Linked DNA regions of Callithrix jacchus. The protein of the gene in region 1 purifies or fractionates together with the protein of each later gene. This does not show direct contact. Links are inferred from orthologs where the notes say so. Each region holds a gene or a part of one and is shown in the gene's direction. Other genes may lie near its edges. The genes, in order: ITGB1, CANX, CD63 and ITGA9.

The links.
Region 2: the proteins of ITGB1 (region 1) and CANX purify together in Homo sapiens (affinity purification with mass spectrometry; 3 studies listed by BioGRID and IntAct, with this or other methods). This does not show direct contact. The link is inferred for Callithrix jacchus from reciprocal best matches to the Homo sapiens genes ITGB1 and CANX.
Region 3: the proteins of ITGB1 (region 1) and CD63 purify together in Homo sapiens (affinity purification with western blotting; 3 studies listed by BioGRID and IntAct, with this or other methods). This does not show direct contact. The link is inferred for Callithrix jacchus from reciprocal best matches to the Homo sapiens genes ITGB1 and CD63.
Region 4: the proteins of ITGB1 (region 1) and ITGA9 purify together in Homo sapiens (affinity purification with mass spectrometry; 3 studies listed by BioGRID and IntAct, counting the BioPlex papers as one, with this or other methods). This does not show direct contact. The link is inferred for Callithrix jacchus from reciprocal best matches to the Homo sapiens genes ITGB1 and ITGA9.

The regions. Positions count from the first base shown.
Region 1 is NC_133508.1:32,597,489-32,604,542, reverse strand, and holds part of ITGB1 (integrin beta-1), read left to right. Parts: coding exon 1-110; intron 111-1,802; coding exon 1,803-1,969; intron 1,970-3,172; coding exon 3,173-3,247; 3' UTR 3,248-3,253; intron 3,254-7,054.
Region 2 is NC_133503.1:71,971,401-71,978,847, reverse strand, and holds the start of CANX (calnexin), read left to right. Parts: upstream 1-3,011; intron 3,012-3,066; coding exon of another isoform or gene 3,067-3,084; intron 3,085-3,992; 5' UTR 3,993-4,113; intron 4,114-7,447. Other genes in the region: CBY3 (sperm annulus positionning complex subunit Chibby3), read right to left, coding at 2,355-3,011, 3,067-3,084. UniProt on the Homo sapiens protein: Calcium-binding protein that interacts with newly synthesized monoglucosylated glycoproteins in the endoplasmic reticulum. It may act in assisting protein assembly and/or in the retention within the ER of unassembled protein subunits.
Region 3 is NC_133510.1:63,926,396-63,934,152, forward strand, and holds CD63 (CD63 antigen), read left to right. Parts: upstream 1-3,000; 5' UTR 3,001-3,220; intron 3,221-3,643; 5' UTR 3,644-3,654; coding exon 3,655-3,720; intron 3,721-4,657; coding exon 4,658-4,846; intron 4,847-5,042; coding exon 5,043-5,117; intron 5,118-5,211; coding exon 5,212-5,307; intron 5,308-5,720; coding exon 5,721-5,861; intron 5,862-6,088; coding exon 6,089-6,172; intron 6,173-6,352; coding exon 6,353-6,418; 3' UTR 6,419-6,508; downstream 6,509-7,757. Other genes in the region: RDH5 (retinol dehydrogenase 5), read right to left, coding at 7,432-7,655. UniProt on the Homo sapiens protein: Functions as a cell surface receptor for TIMP1 and plays a role in the activation of cellular signaling cascades. Plays a role in the activation of ITGB1 and integrin signaling, leading to the activation of AKT, FAK/PTK2 and MAP kinases.
Region 4 is NC_133518.1:75,302,241-75,309,805, forward strand, and holds the start of ITGA9 (integrin alpha-9), read left to right. Parts: upstream 1-2,596; 5' UTR 2,597-2,819; coding exon 2,820-3,004; intron 3,005-3,273; exon of another isoform or gene 3,274-3,618; intron 3,619-7,565. UniProt on the Homo sapiens protein: Integrin alpha-9/beta-1 (ITGA9:ITGB1) is a receptor for VCAM1, cytotactin and osteopontin. It recognizes the sequence A-E-I-D-G-I-E-L in cytotactin. ITGA9:ITGB1 may play a crucial role in SVEP1/polydom-mediated myoblast cell adhesion.

The DNA.
Region 1 (7,054 bases):
TGATCCTGTCTCCCATTGTAAGGAGAAAGATGTTGATGACTGTTGGTTCTATTTCACATACTCAGTGAATGGAAACAACGAGATTATGGTTCATGTTGTGGAGAATCCAGGTATAAATCTAATGATTTCAACCCTTCTTTTCATTTCTTACATCTTGATTCTATGTATTTAGGCCTAAAATCCAGAAACAGCCTCCAGCTGGAATATTTTAGGTTCAAGTTGGGAAATTTTTCATCTCTTGAAGCCTAAAATAGTATTTAATTAACCATACAAGAAATAAGGAAAAGAGAGCTCCAATTTTAAATTTTCTGAGTGGAGAGTTTGAAGATTAAATGCAGTGATCTATGTAAGACACTTAGAATGGTACCTGACACCAGGTGCATAATAAGACTTTTTTATGATTGATGATTTTAAAATTAGAGCTTGATTTAGTCTTGAATACTGGGAAAGATAATTTGCTAAAGGATGTTAATATATAAGTGTTGAATTTGTTTAACTTCTCAGGAGGTGAAACTTTTTTTTTTTAATCTTAGTTTTCCTAGTAGCTTTTTATAGATTCTTTGGAATTTGCTACTTTAGTGTACATGCTTTTGTGTGAACATAAGCTTTCATTTCTCTTGGGTAAATTCTAAGAATGGCATTTTGGAGCATATGGTAAGCATATGTTTAACTTTGTAAGAAGCTGCCATACTCTTAGAGTCTCGTACTGTTTTGCATTATCAGCTAGGTGTTTCGCAAATATTGTCTCCCAGCCTGTGCCTCCTTATCTTTTTATAAGTGTCTTTTGAACACCACAGGTTTCAGTTTTGATGAAGTATGGTTTACCAAGTTTTTCTTTTTGTGAATCTTGCTTTTACATTGTCTGTAAGAACTGTGCCTAACCCAAGATTTTAGAGCTTTTTCTCCTGTGTTTTCTTCTAGAAGTTTATTATAGTTTCTGGTTTCACGTTTAGATCTGTAACTTATTTTGAGTTAGTCTTAGTGTATGGCAAAAGGGTCAGTTTTTTTTTCATATTAGTGTCTACTTGTTCCAGGGGCATTTGTTGAAAAAAGACTGTCCTTTCTCCACCTTTGTTGAAAATCAGGTGACCTTACATGTGTAGGTCTGTTTCTGACTCTGATTGCTGTTCCATGTATCTGAGTCTGTCTGTTAGCTATACCACATGGTCTTGTAGCTTTATAGCTTGTCCTGAAGCAGGTGTCTTCCAACTGTATTCTTTCCAAAAGTGTTTTTGAGACACTTCCCTAGTTCTCTGCCTTTTTTGTAAATTTTAGAATTGGTTTGCTAATTGCTACAGAAGTTCTGCCGGGAATTTGGGTGGGATATCGTTGAGTTTATAGATCCAGTTCAGAAGAATTGACATCTTGACAGTATTAGATTTTGTAATTCATGCACATGGAATATCCCTCCATTTCTTCAGTCTTAAAGATTTCTTTTTATCAGTGTGTAGCAATTGTTAACATGCAGATCTTGCATATATTTTGTTAGACTTATATGTAAGTTTTTCATGCTTCTTCATTTTGTAATAAATGATACTGTTTAAAAATTTCTATTTTCAATATGTAGAAATACATTATATATGTAGAAAAATACATGATTTTTGTTCATTGATCATGTGACCTCCTAAACTCACTTGTTCCAAAAGCTACTTTATGGAGTCTTTGGGATAGCGTGCATTCACTGTCTTGTGTGTTTATTTCTGTATGTTTTTTATAAGATACTGCGCAGCTCTTTGTGGTTGTCGCTGGACTCTGCATGTGTTTGTCCCTTGTGTGCTCCTTACTACCTTCTTATTTTCCAGAGTGTCCTACAGGTCCAGATATCATTCCAATTGTAGCTGGTGTGGTTGCTGGAATTGTTCTTATTGGCCTTGCATTACTGCTGATATGGAAGCTTTTAATGATAATTCATGACCGAAGGGAATTTGCTAAATTTGAAAAGGAGAAAATGAATGCCAAATGGGACACGGTAAGTTACAAAACATCCAAAAACCAATGTGGCTTATAAATCAAATGTAATACTCCTAAGACTTACTTATTAACTGTCAGGCTGATTATTAAATTCCTTTAAATATTTTAGTCCCCCAAAAGTTTCTCATTCAAAGAATTTGCGTTTAATGAAAAACAGGAAGCATCCTAAATATATCTCATTGAAACAAAACATTGATTATAAACACGTATATTCTAGTTACTGTGGCCGGTATTTTTATTTCTTTAATAGTTTTGATCCTAAATCTGCCTTTTCATCTAATGTGAAATAGAATCCTAAATAATGTTACCTGTGTAGCAAGCTATTCAATGGAAAGCTGCTTCTTTCTTTAAAAAAACAAACAAAAAAAGACAAAGAACCTTCAGTGAAAGCCAGATTCAAAAGGTTATATGCCAAGCTTGTCCAACTCGCAGCTCGTGGGTCACATGAAGCCCAGGACAGCTTTGAATGTGGCCCCAACACAAATTTGTAAAGTTTCTTAGAAATTGTAAGATTTTTTTTTTTTGGTGACTTTTTTTTTTTTAAGCTCATCAGCTATCATTAGTATATTTTATGTGTGACCCAAGACAATGATTATTCTTCCAAGGTGGCCCAGGGAAGCCAAAAGATTGGACACCCCTGCTATATACTATGTGATTTCATTTAAGGGACATTCTGGAAAAGCAAAACTATATGGGCAAAAATCAGTTGTTGCTAGGGGCTGGAATGAGGAAAAGGGTTCACCGCAAAGGGCCATAAGGAAACTTCCTGGGATGATCTTGATTTTGGATGTATTTATGTATTTGAAAACTCATGGAACTATGTACTTTAAAAAGGTATATGTTCCTCTATGAAAATTATATCTCAGTAAACCTTGGCTTATAAAAATTTTAAAAGCCCTAAGTGACTGAAAGTTTATGTTAGCATTTAGTGCTTTGAAATATGGAGTCAGTTTCAGCCTCTGTGTATTCATATTTTGATACAAGAAAGCATTGGCAATCTTTAGTTTTTTTAAGTTGTAAATGAATTGTAGTTACTTGCACTTAACTACAGTTTGCTGGAATTTTTTTAAATTATCAATTTTTAAAATTATAAATTTCACAAGGGTAGAAATAGAAAAAAATTCCCTTTATAGTGTTTGAACACTATAAATGTCTATTTTTTTTCTGATGAAATCATTAGAAACTATTTCTTTTACTTTAGCAAGAAAATCCGATATACAAGAGTCCTATTAATAATTTCAAGAATCCAAACTACGGACGTAAAACTGGTCTCTAAATTGCCGTTCGTATTTTCTTTCACTTTCTGCCTTTGCATGTGAACATTTACTTTTTTACTGCACTGTGTGCCCTTTATCACTATTGCTTTTCTTTTAAGTCTGGCTTTATTTATATCGCTATTGCGGCTTTTCTTTTTGTGTGTTAACTTCGTTTTTAGAAAGACTAAAATAAGTAATGTGGTATAGAAACAGCAGCTGTGTTGTAGTGAGAAGAGAATGTGATTTGCAATCAGACCTCAGGTCAAACCCCAGCTCTTCCACTTAGTAAGTAGAACAGCATTGAGCCACTTCACTTCTCTCATCTATCAAAGGGAGTCAGTATTCTGTATTGTATGGGGCAATTGTATTTGGCAAATGCACTCCAGTATATGAAATCAGCTTGTGAGCTCTAATCCTCACAACAATTCTATGCCTAGAATGATAGTATCCTTTTTTCTTTTTCTGTTTTTGGTTTTGTTTTGTTTTTTTGAGACAGAGTCTTGCTCTTTCACCCAGCCCGGGGTACAGTGTTATGATCTCCCCTCACTGCAACCTCTGCTTTCCAGATGCCAGTGATTCTCCTGCCTCAGCCTCCCAAGTATCTGGGATTACTGGTGCCTGCCATCATGCTCAGTTAGTTTTTATATTTTTAGTAGAGACGGGGTTTCACAATGTTGGCCAGGTTGGCCTAGAACTCCTGACCTCCAGTGATCTGCCTGCCTTGGCCTCCCAAAGTGCTGGAATTACAGGTGTGAGCCACTGTGCCCCCACCAGTATTATCCTTAAATAACAAATTGTTAGAGTAAACTTAGGGTTGGGTAGTGAAAACTGATCATGGACTCCAAATTGCAAAATAGAAAATTAAATGTAAGTTGTGTGGTATGCAACTACAATATCATTATTATTGTTTCTCAGAAGATTTGAGATTAATTTATTGAATATAACTTTAAATTTCATTAAAAGCTGGAAGACCATATTATATATATATATCTTTGTATATTATATATATGTCTGTGTCTGTGTGTGTATGTGAGAATGATTCTAATTTTCAAGTGTAAGTTTGAAACTGTTCCTGTCTGAATTTTCATGAAATGCTTCCATCGTATTTCAATATAATCATGCAAGCTCCTAAAACTCAGTGATAACCAAGGTTAATTGTGATTAGAACTAAATTCTCTTGACTGGTGATCGGGAACTCTTCTTCTCTTTCCCAGTTGACTGACTGTAATAGGGCCTGGAAGATTTCCAATTTTCTCACTGCCTACCTTATTTTGCAGATAAAGACGGTGTTGGTAACACTTACATAGAACTCATTGTGTCTCAGGCATGATTGTAAACACTTAATCTATATTTAATCTTCATAGTGAAAGTTGAAGGAATGATGTTTATACCTGTTTTTTTACATATGAGGAAACTGAGACACATAAGGGTTATATAACTTGACCAAATTCACATGGCTAGTTAGTCAGAGAGCTGGGATTTGAACCCAGGCGATTGGGCTCCAGAGTTCATGTTCTTGTCTATGATATTCTACTTGGTAGCAGTTACGTATCTTCAGAAGTCCCTGTTACCTGGTTAGGAAGAGGTAGATCAGTCTTCTTTAGAGATTTACAGAGTTTTGACAATTTGTTGTTCCTCTGTCGGAGTTAACACCACCTCTGTTGGCAAACATCTTAGTAGGGCAGTCACTTGAATACATGGAACCCAATGCCGCAGTTATGCTTATTGACTGTTGGGAGTGTGCTTACAAACGGATCATGAAAAAGAGCCTAAGTACAGGAATGTTTAATAGTTATAAGTGATATAGGAAGTACTGATAATATTAGAAATCATTAACTTGTCAGATTTTTATTTCTAAGTAGACCATAAGACTTTTTAAAGTTAAATTTGATGGCAGAAAATTATATTCAGATTCACATATGGGCAGGGTTGGAGCATATTTGTATTAGTGTGTGATGACATGTTTTTCTTGTTCTCACTTAATACTTTACAGAAAGTCATTTTTAGAGGAAAACTGATTAGTCAATGACATTGCCAGGCTTTTTTTTTTTCTTTTATATTATTTTCTTTAGTTGTAGGAAAAAAAAAATAGTCAAATATTGACAATTTCATGTGGTTATTTTTCACGGGAGAAAAAAATTTCTTTCAGACAGAGAGGTGAAATTTTCACCCTTTCCGTACCTTTAATTGCATTTTGAAGGCCGGGCGCGGTGGCTCACGCCTATAATCCCAGCACTTTGGGAGGCCGAGGCAGGTGGATCACGAGGTCAAGAGATTGAGACCATCCTGGTCAACAAGGTGAAACCCCATCTCTACTAAAAATAAAAAAATTAGCTGGGCATGGTGGTGCATGCCTGTAGTCCCAGCTACTGGGAGGCTGAGGCAGGAGAATTGCTTGAACCCAGGAGGCAGAGGTTGTGGTGAGCCGAGATCGTTGCATCGCACTCCAGTCTGGGTAACAACAGCGAAACTTCGTCTCAAAAAAAAAAAAATAAATTGTATTTTGAAGGAAATTATCAGTAAATGTTATTTAAACTTAATGCTTATAATGTATATATGGCTAAAATGTTGTTAAAAGAAGCATTTAATGTAATTCAAGAAGCAAAAGTTTGGTAAAAATTTCTTTGCATTATTGAAGTCCAGGCAATATGATTATTTTTGAGATATTTTCTCAAGAAAAAGTAGAACTTAACTAAGTAAAATTGAAATAAATTAATAAGCATCAAGAAATTATATCATAGATTGTAAAAAAAATTTCTGATATGGACCAAGGTTTGCCCGTCAATTATGTCACCAATATTTTTGAAATATTTCGCAGGCACTAATTACTTTGGCATAAGTAGGAGCGGTAAAAAGAACGTGTCACATTCTCAGCTTCTAACTATTGGAGTGGGTTAAAAAAATTGTCCTCATCTGCTGCTATGCAGGTTTAAATGTGGATCCGAAATCTCCCACAGTTCTGCATTACATATCTAATACATTATAGAAGCTATTGCAGAGTGAGCACAAAGACAACATTTTACTGAGCACTGAGGGCTTCCTTTCGTAATGTAACCCTGTTCTCTTGATTCGGGTTTTGTTGGGGTTGGGTGGTGTTGCACTCTGAATGATGGAAACTAATCTGAATTATTTTAGTTTACCTCCATTTAAAATGATGCCTAATGCAGATAGTGAGCTTAATTTTACATCTAACCTTGCATGTTAAACTTTTGTTTGGATGGACTTTGAAGTAATAAATACAAATGTTTGTGTATATGACAAGATAGATTTTTCTCCAAAGGTAAGTTCTTCCATGTAAATTACACTTTGGACTCAGCTGGGTAGGGCTTTCTTTCTTTCATTATTATTATTATTATTTTGTTCTTCCCTTATAATTCTTGAGTTTTAAATACTAGATTTAGCAAACACATTATTTTAAAGAAACTTAATTAGATAATAATTTATTTTTCCAACATGTTTGAAGGACCAAATAGCACTTAGCCTCCAATCAGATAGGATATAAATGTGGAGCCTAACTTATTTGTGCTCTGGCTTTTTAAGATGGTAGTTGCAAGAATCCAGTTTTCTGACCCCCATTTTGAAATGTCTGTTGTCACAACTGTATAATGTATTAACTTCAATTGGGACTAGAGCTGAGAGTTTGCACAATTTTGTCATACACATTATATGCTGTTTGTCTCTGAGGGATCCTGAGTTTCTCCATGTTTCTGAAACAACCGATCAAGGTGTATATTGAGGAGAGGGGACTGAGGACTGAGGCATGTTGTCGGGTTCTGATTGGTATCACACAAGCTGCTGAGCTGAAATCACAGTGGTTTATTTGGTGT
Region 2 (7,447 bases), on another chromosome or scaffold:
CCTCCCACATAGCTAGGATTAAAGTCTCGTACCAGCACACCCAGCTATTTTTGTATTTTTAGTAGAGGCAGTGCTTCACCATGTTGGCCAGGCTGGTCTAAAACTCCTGACATCAGGTGATCTGCCAGCCTCAGCTTCCCAAAGTGCTGGGATTACAGGTGTGAGCCACCACAGCCAGCCCTCATCTCGCCTCTTGCTTGACAAACCTACACAACCTTTTTGACCTACATAGCTCTATTCCCCAGAGGATTCTGAGCTGTAGGAGGTAAAAGCCAGGGTCCTTTGTTCCTGCTTTCTACTCTGTCACTTTCATCTCCTGGGCCAATGAATTTGGCTGTTCCCAAGCAGGGCTCAGGACCAGGGTGTGAAATTCCAGAGCAGGAAGAACAAAGTCAGATATTAAAAAATGTCATCCTGATCCATTTAGTTCAGGTCCTTGATCCACTTGGATGCCTCTTTCTAAACAGGACCTGCACTGGGCTGTGGGGCTTCCTGCCTGCTGCAGGTTTGGTGGGACAGGTACCTTTCTCTGCCCTAGGACTGTATTTGTTTTCAGGTAGTCTGGCCAAAGCAATATTCGCTAAACTTAAGCATTCCTGGATCACCTTTATGAGTTTTGCTATTTTGGCATTCTACATTTAAGTTTTTCTTTACTTTTTTATGTAAAGTGTCTTCCTCCTTTTACTTATTTGTGATAAAATTCACATAAAATTCGTTTTGAAGTATACCATTCAGTGACCTTTATTATGATGTTGTGCAACTATCACCACCAGAGTTCTAATTTCTCCTCATACCAAAAGGAAGCCCCATTGTGTTTCCCCCCAACACACACACACAAACTCCCTCCTCCCACCCCTTGGTAACTTAAGCTGTTTCTATGAACTTGCCTATTCTGGAATTTTTTTTTTAAGAGGTTCTCATTAGGTTGCCTAGGCTGACCTCAAGCTCCTGGGCTTAAAGGGACCCTCTCACCTCAGCTTCTTGAGTAGCTGGGACTTCAGGTGTGTGCCAGCATGCTTGGCAATTCTGGATTTTTTTTTTTTTGAGATAGGGTCTCATTTTGTTACCCAGGTTGGGGTGCAGTGGCGTGATGTCGGCTCACTGTAACCTCCACCTCCTGAGTTCAAGCAATTCTCCTGCCTCAGCCTCACGAGTAGCTGGGATTACAGGTGCCTGCCATCACACCCAGCTAGTTTTTTTGTATTTTGGTAGAGATGGGGTTTCACCGTGTTGTCCAGGTTGGTCTCGAACTCCTGAGCTCTGGTAATCCACCCGCCTGTCTCCCAAAGTGCTAGTATTACTGGCACCCGACACGGCTCTCAGCCAACTTTTGGTATTTTTAGTAAAGAGGAGGTTTCAGCTTGTTGGCCAGGCTGGTCTTGAACTCCTGACCTCAAGTGATCAGCCTGCCTGGGCCTCCCAAAGTGCTGGGATTACAGCCGTGAGCCACCACGACCGGCCCCAATAAATCTGGATTTTTAATGTGTTATCTCCAAATTCTGAAACCTTGGCAACAAATGCAATTTTTAAGATTGTGGGTAGAGAAGACCGCATTCTATGGAAGCATAAAAGGAGGCCTGTGCTGGGCGCGGTGGTTTACGCCTGTAATCCCACCAGTATGGGAGGCTGAGGTGGGAGGACTGCTTGAGCCCGGAAGGTCTAGGTTGCAGTGAGCCATGATCGCGCCACTGCACTCCAGCCTGGGTGACAGAGCCAGACCCAGTGTTTAGGGAAAAAAAAAAAAAAAAAAAAGGAGGCCTGTAACAGAGACGCAACTCTCCAAAATGCCACACCGGCAAGTGGGGACCGCACAACCCAAGGTTTCGAGAAAGCTTCTCTTGGGAATGTAAAATACACTTACCCTAGGACTCCTAGTTTCTAAACCTCCTGATCCTAGAGGCCCAGAGGACCGACCAAGTGCAAAGCCCCCCCACACTGTTCTCAGCTCCTGCCGCACCGCACCCTCTATTCCCTGAGCGCCACGGTTCCTCCGCCTGCGGGACTTCGCCCTCGGTTACTTGTATGGCTTGCAAGGCCATTACCTGCCACTCCACCCTGTCTGGGCCCTGCCCGAGGCAAGCCTGGCTTCCAGCCCGCGCTCCCGAAGTCACGCGCAGACCCTCCTCCACGGCCCCATCGCACCCTCCCGAGATGCGTTGCTTAGGGTTGCGTCCCCCGCCGACACCCAGCACCGAGGGGCAGTCCCCGAGGCCACGCAGACCGCCCCCGCCCGCACGCAAAACCTCGCCCAGGGAACAGAAACCGCCACAGTCCCTGGCGGGTCAGGGTTAGTCACAAGGAACGAGGCGCGCATGCGCAGCGCGGGCTTTATTACGTCACTGCGAGTCCAGAACTCAAGGCTGGATCCTGAGCACGTCCCCGCTGGCGCCTGCGCGCTTGCGCATCTTCCTCTGTCGGGCGTGCGCTGCAGCAGCCGGAGTCACCTCGAGGTTGAGCTGCTTTTCCAGCAGGTGCATGCGCGCCGTGGTCTCAGTCAGCATATTCATGAGCACTTCCTGCTGCAGCTTCAGGTAGTTGCTCTCCTTCAGCAACACCTGGATCGTGGTCCACTGCTCCTGCGCCTTCCAGCCCGAGACGGTCGGCGCCAAGTGACCCTCCGTTGTCCACCGGCCGCCGCGGAACTCGAAGGCCTGGTTTTCGAGGCGTATGCGCGGCGCGCCGTAGCAGAGGCCCAGCTCGGCCTGGCGCTTGCTGTAATCCAGCAGGTAGGAGGTGGACAGGGAGGAGATGCGGCGCGCTGGCGGCCGCCGTGGCGAGAAGCGCCGCGAGATGTGATCGGCCCAAAACTGCCGCAGCTGCTCCCACACGTGGCTGGCATGGCTCGTAGTCAGGCACTCGAAGGTTGCCATGGCGAGTGCTGGGTGGACCTTGTAGGGCACGCAGGTGCTAGGAGGGGAGCCTCGGGAGTGCTGGCGACTCCCCAGCACTGGCTGCGCTCTTGCCTCGGGAACCTGGATGTCCAGAATGATGAAGGCGAGCCAGAGGGGCTGCTGGGAGGCAAGAGTATGAGTGAGCAGCTTGCTCAATACAGGCTGCCTATCAAACCTCGAGGCCGGTGGACATGGCTTAGCCCTGCAGCTAGGGTTGCGGCTGTGGCTAACCAGGTGCTGGCCACCGAGGAGCCCGTCCCTCCACGCTGCACAGGCAGCCGTCTCACCTAAATCACCTTACCCAAAGACCACTGAGTATCAGGCGCTGGGATAAATATGCAGATGAAGGACGCTAGGAGCGCCCTGTTCTCTTAGTTTCAGCTGGAAGGGTGAGGGGTAGGGAATGGTAGCAGAGACAAGTAGGTATTGAAAGGAGTAGGACTTTGCCAGGTGAGCTGAGGATGGAAAATGGAGAGCAGAAAGGCAGAGGGAAGAGCCAAGCAGGGTTGTTTGTTTATTTGTTTGTTTTTGTTTTTATAGACGTAGTTTCGCTCTTGTTGTCCTGGCTGGAGTGCAATGGCACGGTCTCTGCTCACTGCAACCTCTGCCTCCCAGGTTCAAACAATTCTCCTGCCCCAGCCTCCAGAGTAGCTGGGATTACAGGCACCCGCCACCATGCCTGGCTAATTTTTTTGGTATTTTTAGTAGAGATGGGGTTTCACCATGTTTGCCAGGCTGGTCTCGAACTCCTGACCTCAGGTGATCCGCCCACCTCTCCCTCCCAAAGTGCTGGGATTACAGGTGTGAGCCACCGCACCCGACAGGACTTTCATGTTTCAGATGTGAACACGAGCTTGGATAGGATTGGTGCTGAGAAGAGCAGAAGAGGAAGCTGGGAAGGTGGACCGGGGCACTATGTGAGGGTGCTGCACAGGCAGGCTCAGAAGCTTATACTTCTTTTTGTGTGTAAGAGGGAACTGCTGAAGGCTTACAAAGCTAGGGTTAGATCTGGATTCTGGAAACAATCTGGGAGGGTGTCTAGCATAGCCAACAGCATGATTGCCCTCATCATTCAGTCAACTAGCATATTCTCTGTGCCAGGTCCTGGTCTTGGAAGGAGGACCTGAAACAGCCTCTGCCTGCCCTCAAGATGCTCCTGATCCAGCTTGGAAGACAGATGCCTGTGTAGACCACGGTCCAGTGTGTTCACTGACATCCTAGGGTGTGTGCCATGGGCTAGAGCTATGCATAGGGCTCAAAGTAACAGACATGACAGATTGTGCACACTAGACATGACTTTTGTTCCAAACATATTATGTCCTAAGGGAATCCAAAGTCCAGATAACAGACAAGTCCCATTTTGCTCACTTCTCCCTGTACTCCCCTGCCCAGTAAGTGCTGATTCTATTATGTGAAAAAGGGAGCTATGTGTTTTTGTTTGTTTGTTTTTGTGATGGAGTCTCGCTCTGTAGCCCAGGTTGGAGTGCAGTGGCATGATCTCAGCTCACTGCCACCTCTACCTCCCGGGTTCAAGCAATTCTCCTACTTCAGCCTCCCTAGTAGCTGGGACTACCTGCACATGCCACCACGCCTGGCTAATTTTTTGTATTTTTAGTAGAGATGAGGTTTCACAGTGTTAGCCAGGATGGTCTCAATCTAACTTTGTGATCTGCCCGCCTTGGTCTCTCAAAGTGCTAGGATTACAGGCATGAGCCAACACACCTGGCCAAGGAGTTATATGTTGTTTTTAATTTCTCTTCTGCCCATGGACAGTGAGAAGAAAAAGAATTTGAGCAGGCTTCCCTCTTATACCTTCGTTAATTCATAACACACTTATCCCTCACGTATAGCTGGGCAGAGGCTGGATGGTACATGCCATCCCCAAGATGTGGTTTAGGGAGATGGTCTCTGGAAGTCCACATCTAGGCCCACCCTTGAGATTGCATCTTGTCAGAGGACCCTTCCCCATTAGTTCTCACTGTATGTTGTGCCTCACCTGGAAGATGTGGTGGAGTTGCTGAGCTCCTGTCCCAGGCCTGGCTCCGTCTCTGACCCACTCAGCTAGTGTCTACCTGCTATGACTCACAATGCCTCCAGGCCAGGCTATCCCAGGTCAGAAGGGTTGCTGAATGCTGAGCTGTCAGACAGACCCAGGGCTCTCTGCTGCATGCATTCAGTGCATCATTCATCACGTACTGTTTTCTAGGAACAATTCTAGGGAAGTGAAGAAGATATTGCCCTCATTAAGCTGTCATCCTTGGCAGGGGAATGAAGGGGGTGGTCATAAGCAGAGTCCAAGACAGGAATTTGTTCTAGAGGAACCAATAAGATAGTTTCTGAGGAAGCTAACAGAGGGTGTCATGGGTCAGGTTCCCTAGAAGCAGAGCCTAAGATGATCATTCTTGCTCGAGTGAATTATTGGGGAAGTGCTCTCAGGAGAAGAGGGTGAGGGAAGCAAGACAGGGCAGGGAAAAAGGCTAAGGCTGAGGCAGAGTGTGGTCTCACATAGAGACTAGCTTCCGCTTGCTGTCATGGAGAACTGTGAGCACAAATGGCATCACACTTAGGCCTCCTTAAGGCAAGGGAGCCAGTCTTTTGTATCCTTCTACATGTTAGTTATGGCAGGGGCAGCTAAGAGTTACCAGGCAGCACCTAGAGCACCTATGGGATGAGTGCACCACCAGTGATAGGAATTTTGGTGGAGCACCAACTGAGCAGGGAGGAAGATAATAGAATAGATGATGGCAAGGTGCAGTGTGGCTCACACGTGTAATCTTAGCACTTTGGGAGGCCAAGATGGGTGGATCACCTGAGGTCAGGAGTTGGAGACCAGCCTGGCCAACATGGTGAAACCCTATCTCTAGTAAAGCTACAAATACAAAATTAGCCAGGCGTGGTGGCATGGGCCTGTAGTCCCAGCTACTCAGGAGGCTGAGGCAGGAGAATCCCTTCAGGCTGGGAGGCAGAGGTTGCAGTGAGCCGAGATTGCGCCATTGCACTCCATCCTGGACAAAAAGAGCAAAATTCTGTCTCAAAATAAAAAAAGGAATAAGAATAGATGAAAATGAAAGGGCAGACTGGCCAACATGGCAAAACTCCACCTCTACAAAAAAACTATTAGCTGGGCATGGTGGCATGCGTCTGTAGTCCCAGCTACTCAAGAGTCTGAGGTGGGAGCATCACCTGAGCTCAAGAGGTTGAAGCTGCAGTGAGCAGTCATTGTGCCACTGCACTCCAGCATAGGTGATAGATACCCTGTATTAAAAAATTCAAAAAAAAAAAAAAGTGCCGGGCACCGTGTTTCACACCTGTAAATTCCAGCATTTTGTAAGGGCAACAAGAGTGAAACTTCATCCCCCCAACCCAAAAAAAGGAATGACTAAATGAGTAAGAATGCCTAGGCCAGGCATGGTGGCTCACGCCTGTAATCCCAGCACTGGGAGGCTAAGGTGGGCAGATCACAAGGTCAGGAGATAGAGACTATCCTGGCTAACACTGAAACCCTGTCTTTACTAAAAATACAAAAAATTAGCCAGGTGTGGTGGCATGCACCTGTAGTCCCCGCCACTCAGGAGGCTGAGGCAGGAGAATCACTTGAACCCAGGAGGTAGAGGTTGTTGTCAGCCAAGATCACATCACTGCACTCCAGCCTGGATAGCAGTGAGATTCCATCTCAAAACACACACACACACACACACACACACACACACACACAAAGACTAGTTCTGATATGTACAGTGAAGAAAACAAAATTGAAATACAGAAAGTGATTTGGGGACAGGGTGAGGGTAGGAACTAATTTAGTCATTGTGCTCAGTGAAGGCCCTTGACGTTCATGCTAAAACCTGAACAATGAGGAGACCCCAGTCCCTTGAAGACTTCGGGGTTCAGGAAGCAAGTAGCTGGGCATGTTTGAAGGACAAGTGCCATGTGTGCAGACAGTGGAAGGAAATGAAATCTGTCTTACCTGCTAAGCCCACCCACTTGACTGCAGGGGACAGACCCAGCTCCAGGAGAGCTCAAAAGCTGGAGCAGAGCCCAGTGATAGTGCCACCTCCTAGGAAATTTCTGTAATAGTTTTATTGAGGTATAATTGACATAATCAACTACATATATTTCTAATGAATAATGTGAAGTGTTTTGATCATTTGTTATGTGAAATCATTCCCAAAATCGAGATAATGAAGTTATCCATCTGGAGTTATCCATTACCTCTAGAAGTTTCCTCTGTTCCCATCACTACATACTAATTTGCATTTTCTATTTATATGTGTATATATGTGTGTGTGTGCGCGTGCGTGTGTGTGTGTATTTATTTATTTATTTATTTTTTGGACAGAGTCTTGATTTGTTGCCCAGGCTGGAGTGCAGTGATGGGATCTCTGCTAACTGCAGCCTCCGCCCTCCCGGGGGAAAGTGATTCTCCTGCCTCAGCCTCCCAAGTAGCTGGGATTACAGGTGCCTGCCACCACACTGGGCTATTTTTTGTATTTTTAGTAGAGAAAGGGTTTTACCATGTTGGCTGGGCTGATCCTGAACTCCTGGCTTCAAGTGAT
Region 3 (7,757 bases), on another chromosome or scaffold:
CTCCTGCCTCAGCCTCCTGAGTAGCTGGGATTACAGGCTCGCGCCACCATGCCCAGCTAATTTTTTGTGTTTTTAGTAGAGACGGGGTTTCACCAAGTTGACCAGGATGATCTCGATCTCTTGAGCTCGTGATCCACCCGCCTCGGCCTCCCAAAGTGCTGGGATTACAGGCTTGAGCCACCGCGCCTGGCCCCCCCTTTTTTTTTGAGATGAAGTTTCACTTTTGTTGCCCAGGCTGGAGTGCAGTGACACATCTTTGCTCACTGCAACCTCCGCATCCTGGGTTCAAGCGATTCTCCTGCTTAGCCTCCTGAGTAGCTGGGATTACAGGCATGCACCACCAGACCTGGCTAATTTTTATATTTTCAGTAGAGATGGGGTTTCTCCATGTTGGTCAGGCTGGTCTTGAACTCCTGACCTCAGGAGATACACCCGCTTTGGCCTCACAAAGTGCTGGGATTACAGGTGACAGGCACTGTGCCGGCCCTTTACCACTTTCTTTTCTTTTTGAGACAGAGTCTTGCTCTGTCTCCCAGGCTGGAGCGCGGTGGTGCGATCTTGGCTCTCTGCAACCTCTGCCTCCCAAGTTCAAACGATTCTCCTGCCTCAGTCTCTCCACTAGCTGGGATTACAGGTGCCTGCCACCACACCCGGCTAATTTTGTATCGCCACTTTACTTTCTTAATAAACTTGCTTTTACTTTGCACTGTGACTTGTCCTGAATTATTTCTTGCATGAGATCCAAGAACCCTCTCTTGGGGTCTGGATCGGGACCTCTTTCCTGTAAACAAATGCACTGGCTGATAAATAATAAAAAAAAAGAAATAAAGAAAAAAAATAAAAACTAGAGTAACTTGTCGATATAATCATATCATGATATGCCCGTTTTGTTAACCATGATAACAGTTCACAAAATAATTTTCTCATGTTTAATTCTCAGTCCATATTTATATGTCCCAAAATGTCTTTCACAGCTGGTTTGTTCAGACAATTATTCAGTGAAGGACCAAGTTGGTTGTTATGTATCGAAAGTCTCTCAATCTTGGTTTTCAGACCACCTTCAACACATCTCACTACATCCTTCCCAAGCACTTCGAGCCAGCCAACCCCAAGCTGTCATATACTTTAAAAAAATGCTCCTTTTTGGCCGGGCGCGGTGGCTCAAGCGTGTAATCCCAGCACTTTGGGAGGCCGAGGCGGGTGGATCATGAGCTCAAGAGATCGAGACCATCCTGGTCAACATGGTGAAACCCCGACTCTACTAAAAATACAAAAAATGAGCTGGGCATGGTGGCGCCTGCCTGTAATCCCAGCTACTCAGGAGGCTGAGGCAGGAGAATTGCCTGAACCCAGGAGGCGGAGGTTGCAGTGAGCCGAGATAGCCGAGATCGCACCATTGCACTCGAGCCTGGGTAACAAGAGCGAAACTCCGTCTCAAAAAAAAAAAAAAGCTCTTTTTTTTTTTTTTTTTTTTCACAGTTAACTGCTTCCCTGTCCCTGGAGCTCTCCCCTTTATTCTCCAAGGTCACCTTGAGCACACCACCCTGCTCCATGAAATCCATTCTCCTATCGTCCCTTTGAGCTTAACCAGCTGCCGCAGCAGGCTTCTGCCTTTCTTCAGTGTGGCCAGAACTTGGTTCTGCCTGCTGGCACAGGGCAGGGCCACTGTCTTCCTCTCCTTGCAGCCCCCGTGCCTAGCACATGCCTGGCATCTAGTGGCAGCACAATGAGGAACCTGAATCCTCCTTTTTTCAGCTCTTCGCTCCTCCTCCACAGCCTGCCCTCCATGGCTAGGGAGAACAAGGTCGGGAATTGGCTTGGTGTGTCCGGCGGGAAGGCCATGATCCTGGAAGCTGCTTCTCAGTTCAGCCCAGAGGTTTCTTTCCTTCTTTGTGTACACACATAAACCAAGACTTTAGATACATACATACACCAAGACTCAGGAAGTGGTTCTTGAGGCAGGACTCTAAGAGCCCAAGGAGTGGGGCCCAGGCTGGAGTGTGACGGCCGGTCCTACCCTCTGGTCTGTTCAGATCAGCTCCTTCTGGGGACCACCGCTGGCACACAAGGGAGGGAGGCTGCTTCGCCCCCCTAGCCCGCTTCCAGCCCTCACCTGGCTTTGTCTTCTGGGATAAGACGGGGAAATCCAGAGGACATAAGCCTCTCCCGCCTTCGTGTCTTCCCGCAAGCCCACGCCATAGCAGGCGGATGCAGGAGCTGTCCGGGAGGTTGGGAGCACAGACCTTGTCAATCCTCCCCCAGAGGACGGGACCCGACGAGGACGTGTCTTCTTTGACTGGAGAGTGTGGCTTCGAGGAAGGGTTTCCTCCTCTTTGCTCAGACCAGGAGCCCTGGAAAATGGAGAAGCTGTGCTAATGGAGGGGACCAGAAACCCCCACTCTAGAATACTCTAGCATGTTGGGAGACACCCACGATGAGAGGCCAGGGACTTTCTAGAAGTGCTTGTTCTGACCCCATCCGACCCAGGCAGACCACAGCTGTCTGCAGAGTCGGATGGGGAGGGGCTCGCACTGAGTTGGAGCCAGAGGAGAGAGCTGGGCTGTGGGAGAAGGATAGGGAAGCCTCTCTCAGACCGCCGGGTCACTAGTCCTCCGCTCTCCGCCCCGGCCCTGAGAGGGTAACTCTCACCCGCCTCCTCCGCTTCTCTGAACCAGAGTGACCCAGGCGGCGCTCCGCCCCGCTCTCCTACTCGGTGTTGGCGCGGAGGTGGGGGCGCCGGAGGGGGGCCCCCGGCGCCTCGAGGTCTTGCCCCTGCGGCTTTCCCTTTTCGGGGGTGGGCGCTGTCTTCCGGGTAGAGGCCACGTGGCCCTGGCTGGGCGGGGGGCTCGGCCCACCCCGCGCCGGCCCCAGTGACTCAGACCTCAGCTGTTCCCGCGTCACATGAGGGAGGTCGGCGGCCACCCGGCGGGGGAGGGGACCGTGGCTGGAGCCCGGGGCGGGGCTGCGCGGCAGGCGGGGCGGGAGCCGGGGGGCGCAGCTAGAGAGCCCCGGCGCCGCGGCGGGAGAGGAGCGCGCAGCCTTGGGGAACCCAGGTGAGGCCGGGGGGTCCCGGCGGACTTGGGCGCGGGCTGGCGGAGACCACCGGCGTTCTCCTCCTCCAGGGCTGGCCCCAGGCCCGAGGAGACCTGCCCGGCGCTCTCCAGCCTCCGTCGAGCAACTTTGCTTCGAAGTTCCCAGGCCAGGGCAGGGTGTGGCAGGGGTGCGGGCCGCACTTTATTTTCGTGGGCGGAGAGGTCCAATCCCAGGGAAAAGGGGTCGGGGTGGGGGTCGGTGTTGGGCTGAAGACCGTTTGTCCGGACCGGTTGGGCGGGGAGGGGGTGTCTGACTCCGGGAGGCTGGCAGGCCGAGGATCGGCTTCTGACTCAAGCCCCTGCCGGCGTCCTTGGATCTGTCCTGGGCCCCACGGGCGGCGGGGCGGGGTCCGGGCTTTGCGGCCGTCACCCCCACCCCTCTCCTGCGGGTGGAGAGGGGGCTGGGAGACGTGGATCCAACCGCGGGTTTCCGGGTGGGAGGGGCCGGGAATCGGGGCGTGCAGGGAAGCCCTCGAGGGCCGGCGGGGAGCGCGGAAGGCGAGGTCCCCTCTCGGCCTGTGTTAATCCCCCCGCCCTCCCCTCTGCCCCAGGCCCGGCAGCCATGGCGGTGGAAGGAGGAATGAAATGTGTGAAGTTCTTGCTCTATGTCCTCCTGCTGGCCTTTTGCGTGAGTGGCGAGGGGTCCTGGGGAGCGCGCTGGCAGGGTGCGGGGAGACCTGGCAGCACACTGGTGAGGGCTGAGGGAGTAAGAATGAAGGCAGCTGGAGACCAGATGTGGAAGGAAAGCCGGGGAAGACAGCGCGGCCACTCCCTCCTCCAGCTTTCCTGGACACCTGAGGCTGGTTTCCACAGAGAATGGCCATCCTGGGGTGCAGCAACCCCTACCCCCACCCCTCCTGGCCCTTCCTGTCTGGTGACCCAACCACTTGTGATATGGGGCAGTGAGTGGGGCAACCAGCCAACCGCCTGATGCTATCGCCACGGGGCTTCCCTTCTCTCCCTTCTCCCCTCTCTTCCTCACCCACACCCCCATCCCTCTCCAGTCCTTCTCCCCCTTTCCCTCCTCCCAGCGCTTGGGGGTGAGGAAGGGCTCTGCCCACCTCAATTTGCTCCTGCTCTGGGCTCCTGTCTTGAGAGGCTACTGTTTGTCTAGGGAGGGGCACATCTCTCTTTCCCCCTTTTCTTCTTCCCTTCTCTTGGCCTAACTAGCCAGAGGAACCTTAGTTACAGCTGAGGCGCGTAGGGTGTGCACTGGAGGATAGCGAGGGGCCAGTTCTGGGAGAGAACTGAGCTGCGAACCCTTGAGGCCCGTAGAAAGCCTTATTCTAGGTCAGAAACATGCGCCTTGGGGGAGGTCAAGGCTTTCTGGGAAGCCTTTGAATTTGGTCAAGTCCCTGATTAAAGAGCCTGGAGGGGGTCAGAGGAGCTGGGGCCAGGCAAGGATGGGTCATCCCCCATCCCCACAGCCGAAAAAGTTCACTGGAGGTGTGAGAATCTCTCCTCTGGTTAGGGCCAAGTCTGTGTCCTGGGTGTACCCCTGTCCTCCACCATGGAGGGCCACTGTGTTGTGGGTCCAGCCTAATCCTCGCCTGCCTTTCTCTTAGGCCTGTGCAGTGGGACTCATTGCTGTGGGTGTCGGGGCACAGCTTGTCCTGAGTCAGACCATAATCCAGGGGGCTACCCCTGGCTCCCTGTTGCCTGTGGTCATCATTGCAGTGGGTGTCTTCCTCTTCTTGGTGGCCTTTGTGGGCTGCTGTGGGGCCTGCAAGGAGAACTACTGTCTTATGATCACGGTGAGTGGCAGGGAGTGGGGCCAGCATGGGTGGTCTGGGACTGCCAGGGCAGCTTGGTTGGGGCTCAGGAAGGTGGGTGAGGTGAGGTGGGTAGGTGGGTGAGGAAGACGTTTGTGAGTGTCCAGGGACGGAGTGGGCCGGAATGGGCCCCTGTAATGCAGACCCCAAACCTGATTCCTGTCCTTTGCTCCTGCAGTTTGCCATCTTCCTGTCTCTTATCATGCTGGTAGAGGTGGCCGCAGCCATTGCTGGCTATGTGTTTAGAGATAAGGTAAGCAGGAAATAACGGGAAGGGCCTGCCTCAGCCTGGCAGGGACCCAGGTGCTTGAATTCTGACTGCAACAATGCTCCTTACCTACTCTCAGGTAATGTCAGAGTTTAATAACAACTTCCGGCAGCAGATGGAGAATTACCCAAAAAACAACCACACTGCTTCGATTCTGGACAGGATGCAGACAGATGTGAGTGGGGTTATTGGGAGCAGGGGTGGGAATAGAGAATTCTCATCTCCAAGGCTGGGCGCGTTAGCTCATGCCTGTAATCTTAGCAGTTTGGGAGGTCAAGGTGGGTGGATCACCTGAGGTCAGGAGTTCAAGACCAGCCTGGCCAACATGGCGAAACCTGTCTCTAATAAAAATACAAAAATTAGCCAGGTGTGGTGGCGTGCACTTGTAATCCCAGGTACTCAGGAGGCTAAGGCAGGAGAAACGCTTGAACCTGGGAGGCAGAGGTTGCAATGAGCCAAGATCGTGCCACTGAACTCCAGCCTGGGCAACAGAGCAAGTCTCTGTCTAAAAAATAAAAAAGGAATTCTCAGCTCCATATTGAAGATGGAGGTTCACTTAACCTTCTCCGTATTTCTTCCCTCCCCCAGTTTAAGTGCTGTGGGGCTGCTAACTACACAGATTGGGAGAAAATCCCTTCCATGTCGAAGAACCGAGTCCCTGACTCCTGCTGCGTTAATGTCACTGTGGGCTGTGGGATTAATTTCACCGAGAAGCAGATCCATAAGGAGGTAGGGAGGAGACTGTGTACGGGACTTGGGAAACCTGGGAAATGTTTTGGGAGGCAAGCGAGACCTAGGATGGAGGTGGACAGGGTCAGGGATGGGGAGGGGATCTGGAAATGATAAGGGTGGGGTGAAAGGTACAGGGGCAGGGAAGAGACCGATGGACCAGGGGAGGGGGATGGGGTGGTAAGTTTCTGATGGTGCTTTTGTCCTGTGTGCCTGCCACCCTTCAGGGCTGTGTGGAGAAGATTGGGGGCTGGCTGAGGAAAAACGTGCTGGTGGTGGCTGCAGCAGCCCTTGGAATTGCTTTTGTCGAGGTGAGAGATAACCCTGAGGAGGGGCTGGACTCAGTCCAGGGTGCCTGGAGTAGGGGCAGTGGGGAGGGTGCTGAGCAGGAGGTACTGGCCTGGGAGTGTGTGTTTGGGGTCTCTTGCATGGGTCTGGGGTAGCTTGCCCTTCTGACTCCTCTCCACCCCCATCCCCATCTTTCTTTCTAGGTCTTGGGAATTGTCTTTGCCTGTTGCCTCGTGAAGAGTATCAGAAGTGGCTACGAGGTGATGTAGGGTCTGGACTCTTCGCCCTCTTCATCTTGGGGAGTGGAGTAGTATCCTCCAGGTTTTTCAATTAAACGGATTATTTTTTCAGACGGAAAAGAGAGATGGTCTGAGTTTGTCTTAGAGAGATGCTTGATTCCTTCCTTTCCTTACCCATGTTCCCTGTCCTCTGGGACCTTACTGTTTGTGTACTTCAGGAAGGTGTATTGTGGGGGCATTTGGGAAAGGAGGACTTTGCTGAAGGTGTTGGTTGGGCAGGCAGTGGGAGAGGTGGCAATCCAGAGACTGTGGTGCTTCCTGCCCCCTAGTCTTGTGCCGCCAGGCTCACTCCGAACGTTCACGAAGCCATCTGCTGCATGACTCAAAGCAGCTCCCCAGAAAGGTCCCACCTGGGAGAGCCCAGCCCACAGCTACCTTGGACATCTTCCTGGCCTTTTGTGCACCGCTAAGGGCTTAGCACCTCCTGCCCTGGCCAGTTCTCCAGGGATCCAGCTCCTTTCAAAGTGGTGATAAGTTGCCTTGACACCTGTGTGGCCAGTCTCCTCCTTAGCAAGAGAATTTATGTGAATATTGCCTTTTTTTCCATGGAAGCCACCCAGCCTGACCCCCATCCCTCTTCATCAGTTGCTCTTCTCCCCCAAGAAATATAAAGGCCATTCTCAGTACAGACCCTGAATTGCAACCTTACTCCCCTTTAGAAAATAAGGAAAATGTATCAAAGTGCCCTCTGATGGCCCCTCCTCGAGGTGCCGCTGTAGATGTGAGGCAGTTCCCTGCGCCCCCCTGTGGGTGTTAGCTATTTTGCAGGCACTGAACTGACCAGAGACCATGAGCGTGTTGTAGTAGTTAGCACTTAAATGGGGTCGGCCTTCCACGGGGCACCTTTGTTTCTGCCCACCTTCTTTTTATTTTTCAAACAACACACTTGTTAGTGGTTATTTTGTGACAGGCACCAGGCAGTACCAGGGGGAGGGCAGAAATAAAGCTTGCCCTTGAAAAATAATCTTGCTGGAAGGCTGGATTCAGTGGACTGCTTGGGCAGGCTTGGGAAGGACCCAGGTGAGCACAGCATCCACCAGGCTGGCTGGCAGGTAGGAGGCAGGCAGCCAGAGCAGCTTGGCATCCCAGCCTGGGCTGTAGCGGGTTCGGGGGTGTCGAGCAGTCAGGGCATGCTCCAGGCATCGGCTCACCTTGGTTAGGTCCGGGTCGCAGATCAGGTTCATGATGCGCTCTTGCACTTGGAGGTCTGCAGCCCCATAGGTAGTTGGAATCAGTTTCCCTTCCCAACTCCAGCCCATCTTAGGTACTATCTTTTGGGGCCCAGGGCTTGTTGCTCTCAGTCCCCTCC
Region 4 (7,565 bases), on another chromosome or scaffold:
CCACAAGGAAAGGTTCTCTGCTTTTAAGGATTCACATAATTAGACAGGATGAAAGCCATAGGTCAGCTGAGTTGGCTCTCCTTTAAGAAACCTCCTGAGAAGCCTACCACCCAAATAACACATGCTCTTATCTCATTGGCCAGACACTGCACAAGGCCACTCTATCTGCAAAAGAGCCTGGGAAACATAGTTTTATTTATTTTTAAAACTAGGCATATTAACACGCCACTCGCTCTGGTACTTGTTAGTAAGGAAAATGGGAAGTATAAATACCAGGGAGATACTAATGATCTCTACCGCAGATGAAAACCTTGGCTGGGCGCAGTGGCTCATGCCTGTAATCCCAGCACTTTGGGGAGCCGAGGCAGGTGGACTGCTTTAGCTCAGGAGTTCAAGACCAGCCTAGGCAACATGACAAAACTTCATCTCTACCCAGAATACAAAAATTAGCCGAGCATGGTGGTACAAGCCGGTGGTCCCAGCTACGCGGCAGGCTGAGGTGCGAGGATTGCTGGAGCCTGGGAGGTCGAGGCTGCAGTGAACTGTAATTACGCCACTGCACTCCTGCCTCAAAAACAACAACAACAACAAAACAAAAAAGAAAAACAAAAGGAAACCTTGTGTTTAGTGTCCTGCAATGAGAATTGATCATTTTTCACTGTCACCAAAACACAAAGTTAAAAGTCTCCTTCAAAATCTCCCCCAAAGTGCTTTGTCCTCTTCCTAAGCTTGCTTTTCTTTAAGTAGTTCATTCTTTAAAAATTTTTTTGAGATGTCATCTCACTCTGTCACTCAGGCTGGAGTGCAGTGGCACGATAACCTCTGCCTCCCAGGTTCAAGCAATTCTCCTGCCTCAGCCTCCCGAGTAGCTAGGATTACAGGCGTGCACCACTATGCCCAGCTAATTTTTGTATATTTAGTAGAGATGGTGTTTCACCATGTTGGCCATTGTTGGCCAGGCTGGTCTCGAATTCCTGGACTCAAGTGATCTGCCTGCCTCGGCCTCCCAAAGTGCTGGGATTACAGGCATGAGCCCAGTTCATTCTTTCAACAATGTTTAAGCATCTTCCTATGCCTGGCACTGAGCTGGGCCTTGGGGCTACAAAGATGTCTAAGACTTTTTTCTCCCTGGAGAGCCTTACCATCTCTGGAGAGGGACAGAGAGCCCCTGAAATGATTACCATGTTCTAAGTGTTGAGACAGAGGCATGTTAATACCCTTTGGCAGCCCAGAAGAGAAAAGGGCAGAGGAAATGGGACAGAAAGGGTGAGGGGAGGACTGGCCTGGACGTCTAGAATGGATAGGATTTTTGTTTCCAGTTTAAGAGGGGTAGGCAATTTTAGGAAGAAAGAACAGCGTTGGAGAAGGAACAGATGTGTGTGAAAACCCCTGCTGGACAGGCTCAGAGGACAGCTCGAAATTGTGTGTGGATATACTGTAGGGTTTGTGGGAAGTGGAGTGGGAAAGGGGCTTAAAATGGGGCTGGAAAAGGAGATGGAACCTCCATGTGAAGGTATGCTGAGGAGGTGTGGCTCCATCTTGAGGCAGGAGAAGAGGGTGGGGGCGGGGGGCAACAGGAAGCTTTTAAACAATACCCAAACTCTGGTGTAGAAGTAAAAAGTGGAAAGAAGAGAACACAGGCAGGGAAACCACAATAGTGTGGTCAGACTGGAAGGATCGCAGTCAGTTCAGTAGGAAGCTTGAGTTTGAGTAGCCAAGTTCACAGACGGGAGGTAGAAAGGTAGCTGCCAGAGGCTCTGGATGGGGGTAAGGGTAGGGGAAAGAGGAGTTATTGTTTAGGGTGTAAAGTTTGTTTTCAAAGATGAAGAGTTCTGGAGACGGAGGGCGGTGATGGCTGCATAACATGCATATACTTAATACCCCAAACTGTACAGTTAAAAATGGTGAAGATGGTAAACTTTCTATTACGCATGTTTACAGTGACAGCGTTGAGTGCACGCAGACCCTGCTGGACTCCAGCCACAGAGCCCCTATTCAGCAGGGCTGAGTGGGGCCTGAGGATCTGCATTCTGCCAAGTTCCCAGATGATGTTGATGCTGCTGGTCCGGAGACTGCACTTCGGGAATCACTGGTGTAGGAGAGCGAGTGACTAGAACACTGAGGGGCGCTCTGCTCGCTTCCACGTGGCTGCTATTGTGATTAACGACAGCCGGCGTTCACTGAGCGCCGCTCCTGCAGCTGATCCCACAACTGGGTGAAGGAGCGGCGGGCGCGCAGGGCCAGACTCTGGAGTCTAAACTCGCTCCTCACTCAGGTTGTTCTGGACCTTGCTGGTTGTGACTGGGAGGGAAAGAGAGACCTAAGCAGGGAGACAGGCCCTCAGGGCCGGCCGAACCCATAGTGGCGGAGGGGCGCAGCCTCGCCTCCGGGAACCCGAGCGCCCGGGGCGCAGCGGGGAGGGGGCAGCTCCGGGCGTCCTGCGGGTCGCGGGACCGACTCCTGCCCGGGAAGTGCTCGGGGCCCGCGGCCCGCAGGGGGCGCTGCCGCGCCGTCCAGCCTCCGCCGCCCGGGCCGCCCTCCCAGCGGGCGCGCCCCTCCGCAGTCCAGCGCCGCCCGGCCCGGGACCCGCTCGCTCAGACTTCTCCGGCCGACAGAGGACGCCGACCGCTCGGGGCCGCCCCTGTGCTCGCCTGCGCGCCCGCTCAGCCAGCCGTCCGCGCCCCGGCGCCCGCATCCCGCCTGCGTTCGGGCGCAGAGCTCCCGCCCCGGGGACGCTTCCCGGCCGTCGGCGGACCCCGCGGCCCGCGCGCTCTGCGCCCCGCTCGCCCAGCAGAGGGGAGGGCGGCAGCCGGCTGGGGATGGGCGGCCCGGCTGTGCCCAGGGGCGCCAGGGGGCTCCGTGCACTGCTGCTGGCGCTGGTGGTCGCGGGAGTTCCCGCGGGCGCCTACAACCTCGACCCACAGCGCCCCGTGCGCTTCCAGGGCCCCGCCAACTCGTTCTTCGGCTACGCGGTGCTGGAGCATTTCCACGACAACACGCGCTGGTGAGTGTCCGCCCGCTCCGCGACCCCGGCCCGGCGGCCACCGCCCCGGCCCCCGGGCCCGCCGCCGACTTTCCGGCCTCTTCCCCGCCGCCGTCCCGAGGGGGCGATTTAAATGTCTCCGCTGCGCGCGGCTCGGCCCCCGGGGGACGGCGGGAGAAGGGAGGACACCGTCCGGGGGCCGCGGAGGTCGCGGTCGGCGCCTGGAGGCGGGCGGGGCTGTCGCGCGCCTCCCCCGGGTCCCAGCCCCGAGCATGCGGGGAGCGCCGCTAGAGTTGCCTCTTGGACCGCCCAGCTAGACTCGGCTTCGCTCTCCGGATCGCGGAGTAACTTGGCTCCTCTGCCTCCGAGCGGCCGCGTGGGCCCGGCGAGCCTCCCGAACCTCGCCGGGCCTGGGGGAATCAGGGCACTGCAGCTGCACCCCTCCCCGGTTTTGGGGAACCTCTGAGGAAGGAGCGTAGCCTCTCCAGCGCCGCTGCGCGGGGTGGTGCTCCCCAGGGGCAGGGCGTCTGGGATCCCTCGGGCGCGCTGGAGCCCAGAGGCCCCCCTACCCCGACCCCTACAAGACCCTTGATGGAAGTGGGGTGGAGAAGCTCCTGGATATAGGGAAGAGGAGGGTAAGAGAGCACTTCCGAGTGACAGAGGTGGGGCGGGTAGGTGTTTCTTGGGGCAGCCTGAGTCTCTTCTCATATGGACCAATTCCACCTGGAGACTTTGACCAGAAGCCTTGAGAGAGAGATGTGTTTCTGTAGAGGCCAAGGGATTCAGTTGTCCTCTGAGCCCGGAGCGGTGGGCCTGAAGAAGGTGGCGGCTCTGGCTCCATTAAGCATCATCAGCTGAGTGGTACAGAGCTTGTGACCAACTCGAGTGGAGAAGCACGAAGAGGAGGTTGGTGCCCTCCTTGGCCACTTCCCCTGGCCCACAGGGATTAAATAGCCACACAGTGGTCACTTCTCGATAGGAGAGAGGGGCTGCGGGAAGTTCTCCGTTCAAGGTCATCCGTCAATGGGGACCCAGGTGACAGCCAGGCCGGGGTTGACTTTATTGTGTAGTCACCAGCCTGAGCGTCCTTAGGGGTGGCAGACAGGGAGGTCGAGGTCACTGATGCCGGTGCTCTCAGCATGAAGTTACGCAGGAGAGTCACTGCTCTGTATTGGACAGAGGCTGATGGAAAAGGGTGGTTTGTGGATCGCAGAACTCGAGCATTCCTTGAAAAGGGGACTCCGGGAGCAGCCCACTAAGAATCATGCTGTTTGGGAGATCAGCCTCCAAGAGAACCGGCTTTCAAAGTCCTCCCATAGCTCTCACCCACCTCCACATTCCCCTTCTCTGATTGACTCCACTTGCTGGGTTTAAGACCCAGTGTCTGTCTGTCCTTACAGTTGTCAATTTCCCCTTTTAAAGCAGAGCGGGCTGAAGGCTTTTTCTATGTCCTGCAGACTCAGGGTCTGCGACTGAAGAACACATCCCAGATCCCCGCACTAGGCACGAAGCACGCGGGAAGCTCTGTCACAAATGGTTGGGCTGCTGTCGACAGGGGGCTGTTGAGAAAGGGCAGGCAGCGGAGCAGGCAGCCAAGCCAGCCAGAGAGCATTGTGTGTGATCTGCAGGCTGAGGGTGGCTCAAGTGCCCGGAGCTCTCTGACAGCTAGAGGGAGAGAGGCCAGGCTACTGTCACTGTGGATTTGCATGGGCCACAGGTCAAAGCCACCTGGGCTGCGGAAGGAATGAGGAGGGCAGATCTGACAGAAAAGGTGTTCAGCCTACTTTGTTTTAAGAAGAGGATGAAGAAAAGCTGTGTGACGTGAGCAGATTTGGCCAGTGTAGGAAAAGACAGTCTGGTCTTCAACTTGGTACCCGGTGTAAATGGTAGGGAGTCGGTGTGGAGCTGGGCAGTAACGCTGTGCATAGCCTTGTTGCCAGTTGAGATGTGGGACTGGCATTTCAGGGGTCCATGGGACCATACAGCTGGGCTGCCGGGCTCCAAAGTGCCCCCTCTCGTTCTGATGTAAGCTGGCCACTCTTTGTATTGGAGTGCTTGTCCCTGTAGCTGCTCAGGCACCACCTAAACTCTACTGAAATCTTTTCAAAAGAACTCTTCTTTTTCCTCCCCGCCCCCACCACATTGCCTTAACTTTTTCTTCTCCTCTTGATTTCTGTTCTCTTGATGTTGTTTTCAAGTATTTTCCTCCCCATCCTTTTTCTCTTTCCCCTTTCTCCCAATATTCTTCGTCCTAGACCTTGAATGTATTTTTTGCTGCTTACACTGCCCAGGCTTGGTAAGCTGCGGCCTTTGAAACGAGCGACTTCCAGCATCTTCTTCTTTCTCCTTTGTCTTTCCTCTAGAGGCTAGACTCACTGTGCGAGGCTGCTGAAACTTAAGCCAAAGGCTTCTAGCTTATGCAGGGTCCTATTAATTCCCTGTCCCCAATTTTATAATTGCATATTAATTTTCTTAAAGGTAGTCACCCTAAACGTATAAGATCAGGTCCTCTGAATTCTGGATTTGCCCTAAGTCTGTACCTTAACATCAACTCTGGGACTGGTTGCTTTTCCTGACTCTGTGGTTGGTTGATTGACTTAGTGACAGATTATTGGTTGCTTACTACTAAGTAGAACCTGAGCCCTGGATCTTCTAGCCATGCTTGAGGGACATGTTGGTCATTTTCAATGATTTGTGATTGCAAATAGCAGCAGGGTTAAACAACCTTTAAGGAAACCCTTGAGGACAATCTTAATTATTTCCTTTGAATAAATTTCTAGGCTTGGAATTGCTAGGTCAGAGAGGATGGCAGCTTCAAGGCATTCTCTGTGTATTACCAAAGTGCCAGTGAAGCGTGTGTACTTTAGAAAAATGCATTGATTTATTCAGACGCTGGAGGCTTGGAGTAGTTTTGCAAAGGGCTGCTCTAGTGCAATGGAAGAGGATAGAACCTACATGGGAGTGACTGAAAAGTATCAAATACTAGTCCTGAGTGAGGAAGGTAAAATACAGACATGCAAGGGAAAAGCAATATAGCAAAACTTTGAAAGGAAAAGAAGACATGTTCACTGAGCCTTGTATCTTATGTCTCTCTTCTTGACGACATTATTCATGGTTACTTAATTCAGTATTTTGCAGTCTAAGACGTTTGCTTCATGCTAATCAACCACCTGTTTTACAGGTGAAAAAAATATGTTGTCTATAGGGAAAGGGAGGGAGAAGAATGTTCTGGAAGTGGCAGGAGGAGAGCCCAGACAGCAAAGTCAGCATGGACTCGGCAGGCGGCAGAACCTGTGGGTGTACATCTCACAGTATATGAATGTGCTCTGGTGGAACTAGCACTTCTCTGATCCTATAACTAAGCATTTCTCTCGATTATTTTGTAGCTCAAAATTGTCTCTAATCGGAGGGTCCTAGATCCCTGTGTAAGGGTGGGGGTGATCTTGCTTTTCCCAGCCCTGGTGACTGAACCCAGCTCTGCAGCCATATCACACTGATCACAGAGCCCCAGACCCAGCTTTTCTGAGTACTTGCTTGAGTGGTCTCTCTGTCACTGAGCTCTCGGCAGTGAGGACTGTCCCATGGCTAGATGGACCAGAATATCCTGGACAGTGTTCCAGATGATGTTTGTATCAGTTGGGATACAAACGTGCAAGCGATTCCATTTTCTTTTTCTCTAGTAACACCCAGCGAGCATCTGCCTGCCCAGAGCCGGCTTCCTCTCCTATAGCTCCCATCCCCGAGTCTTCTGGCACCCTTTGAACAACGACAGTAGGTGCCAGGGGACATGGACAAAGCCGATTTCTGTCCCCTTCCTTTAGACATGGACCAGTTCCTCAGCTGCAGGGCTGGCAACTGTAACACCCTGTGATATAAATAAACGCGGCCTGGCTGGCGTGCAGCCTCCAGAGCGGACGTCTTTCACATCCCTCCCCATCCCTCCGCCTCCTCTGCCCCAGACGCCCTGGAGTCCAAAGTGGTTGGGTGCACTGGCTTCCTTTCTGGAGACGTGCTTCCTGCTCCCTCTCCTGGGACACATCAAGACGGCGGTGCTCAGGCACAGAGCAAGTGCTCGGAAATGGAAGATGCACTGGGCTTTTTGCTTCGTTAAGGTTGTCGGAGCTTTGTTCAGTGAGGAATAGGAGGCGATTCCAAGCCGAGGAGAACATAACATCCCGATTTGGATGACGGTTGAGAATTAGAAGAACAAGTTCGACAGTTCTGGTGAGCTGTCTGATGTAGTCACCACTAGCCAGATATATTGCTATTTAAATTAACTAAAAATAAAATGTCAAATCCAGCTTCTCAGTTCCACTTGCCACATTTCAAGCAGTCAGTAGCCACATGGGGCTCATGGCTACCGTTTTCGACACAACACAGGGAGAACATTTTCATCATCATGGAAAGTTCTACTTGGCAGTGTGGGTTGAGAACAATGATGTCAGTCTTAGACACGGATCAAAAGGAGCAGTAAGAAAAAGAAAAATGAAGCTGTAGCGCATTTGAGTACTAAGACTGAAATAGACATCGATTTCAGTTTTACATCTGAAGTATTACAGTGCTTACATCTAACTAAAAATTG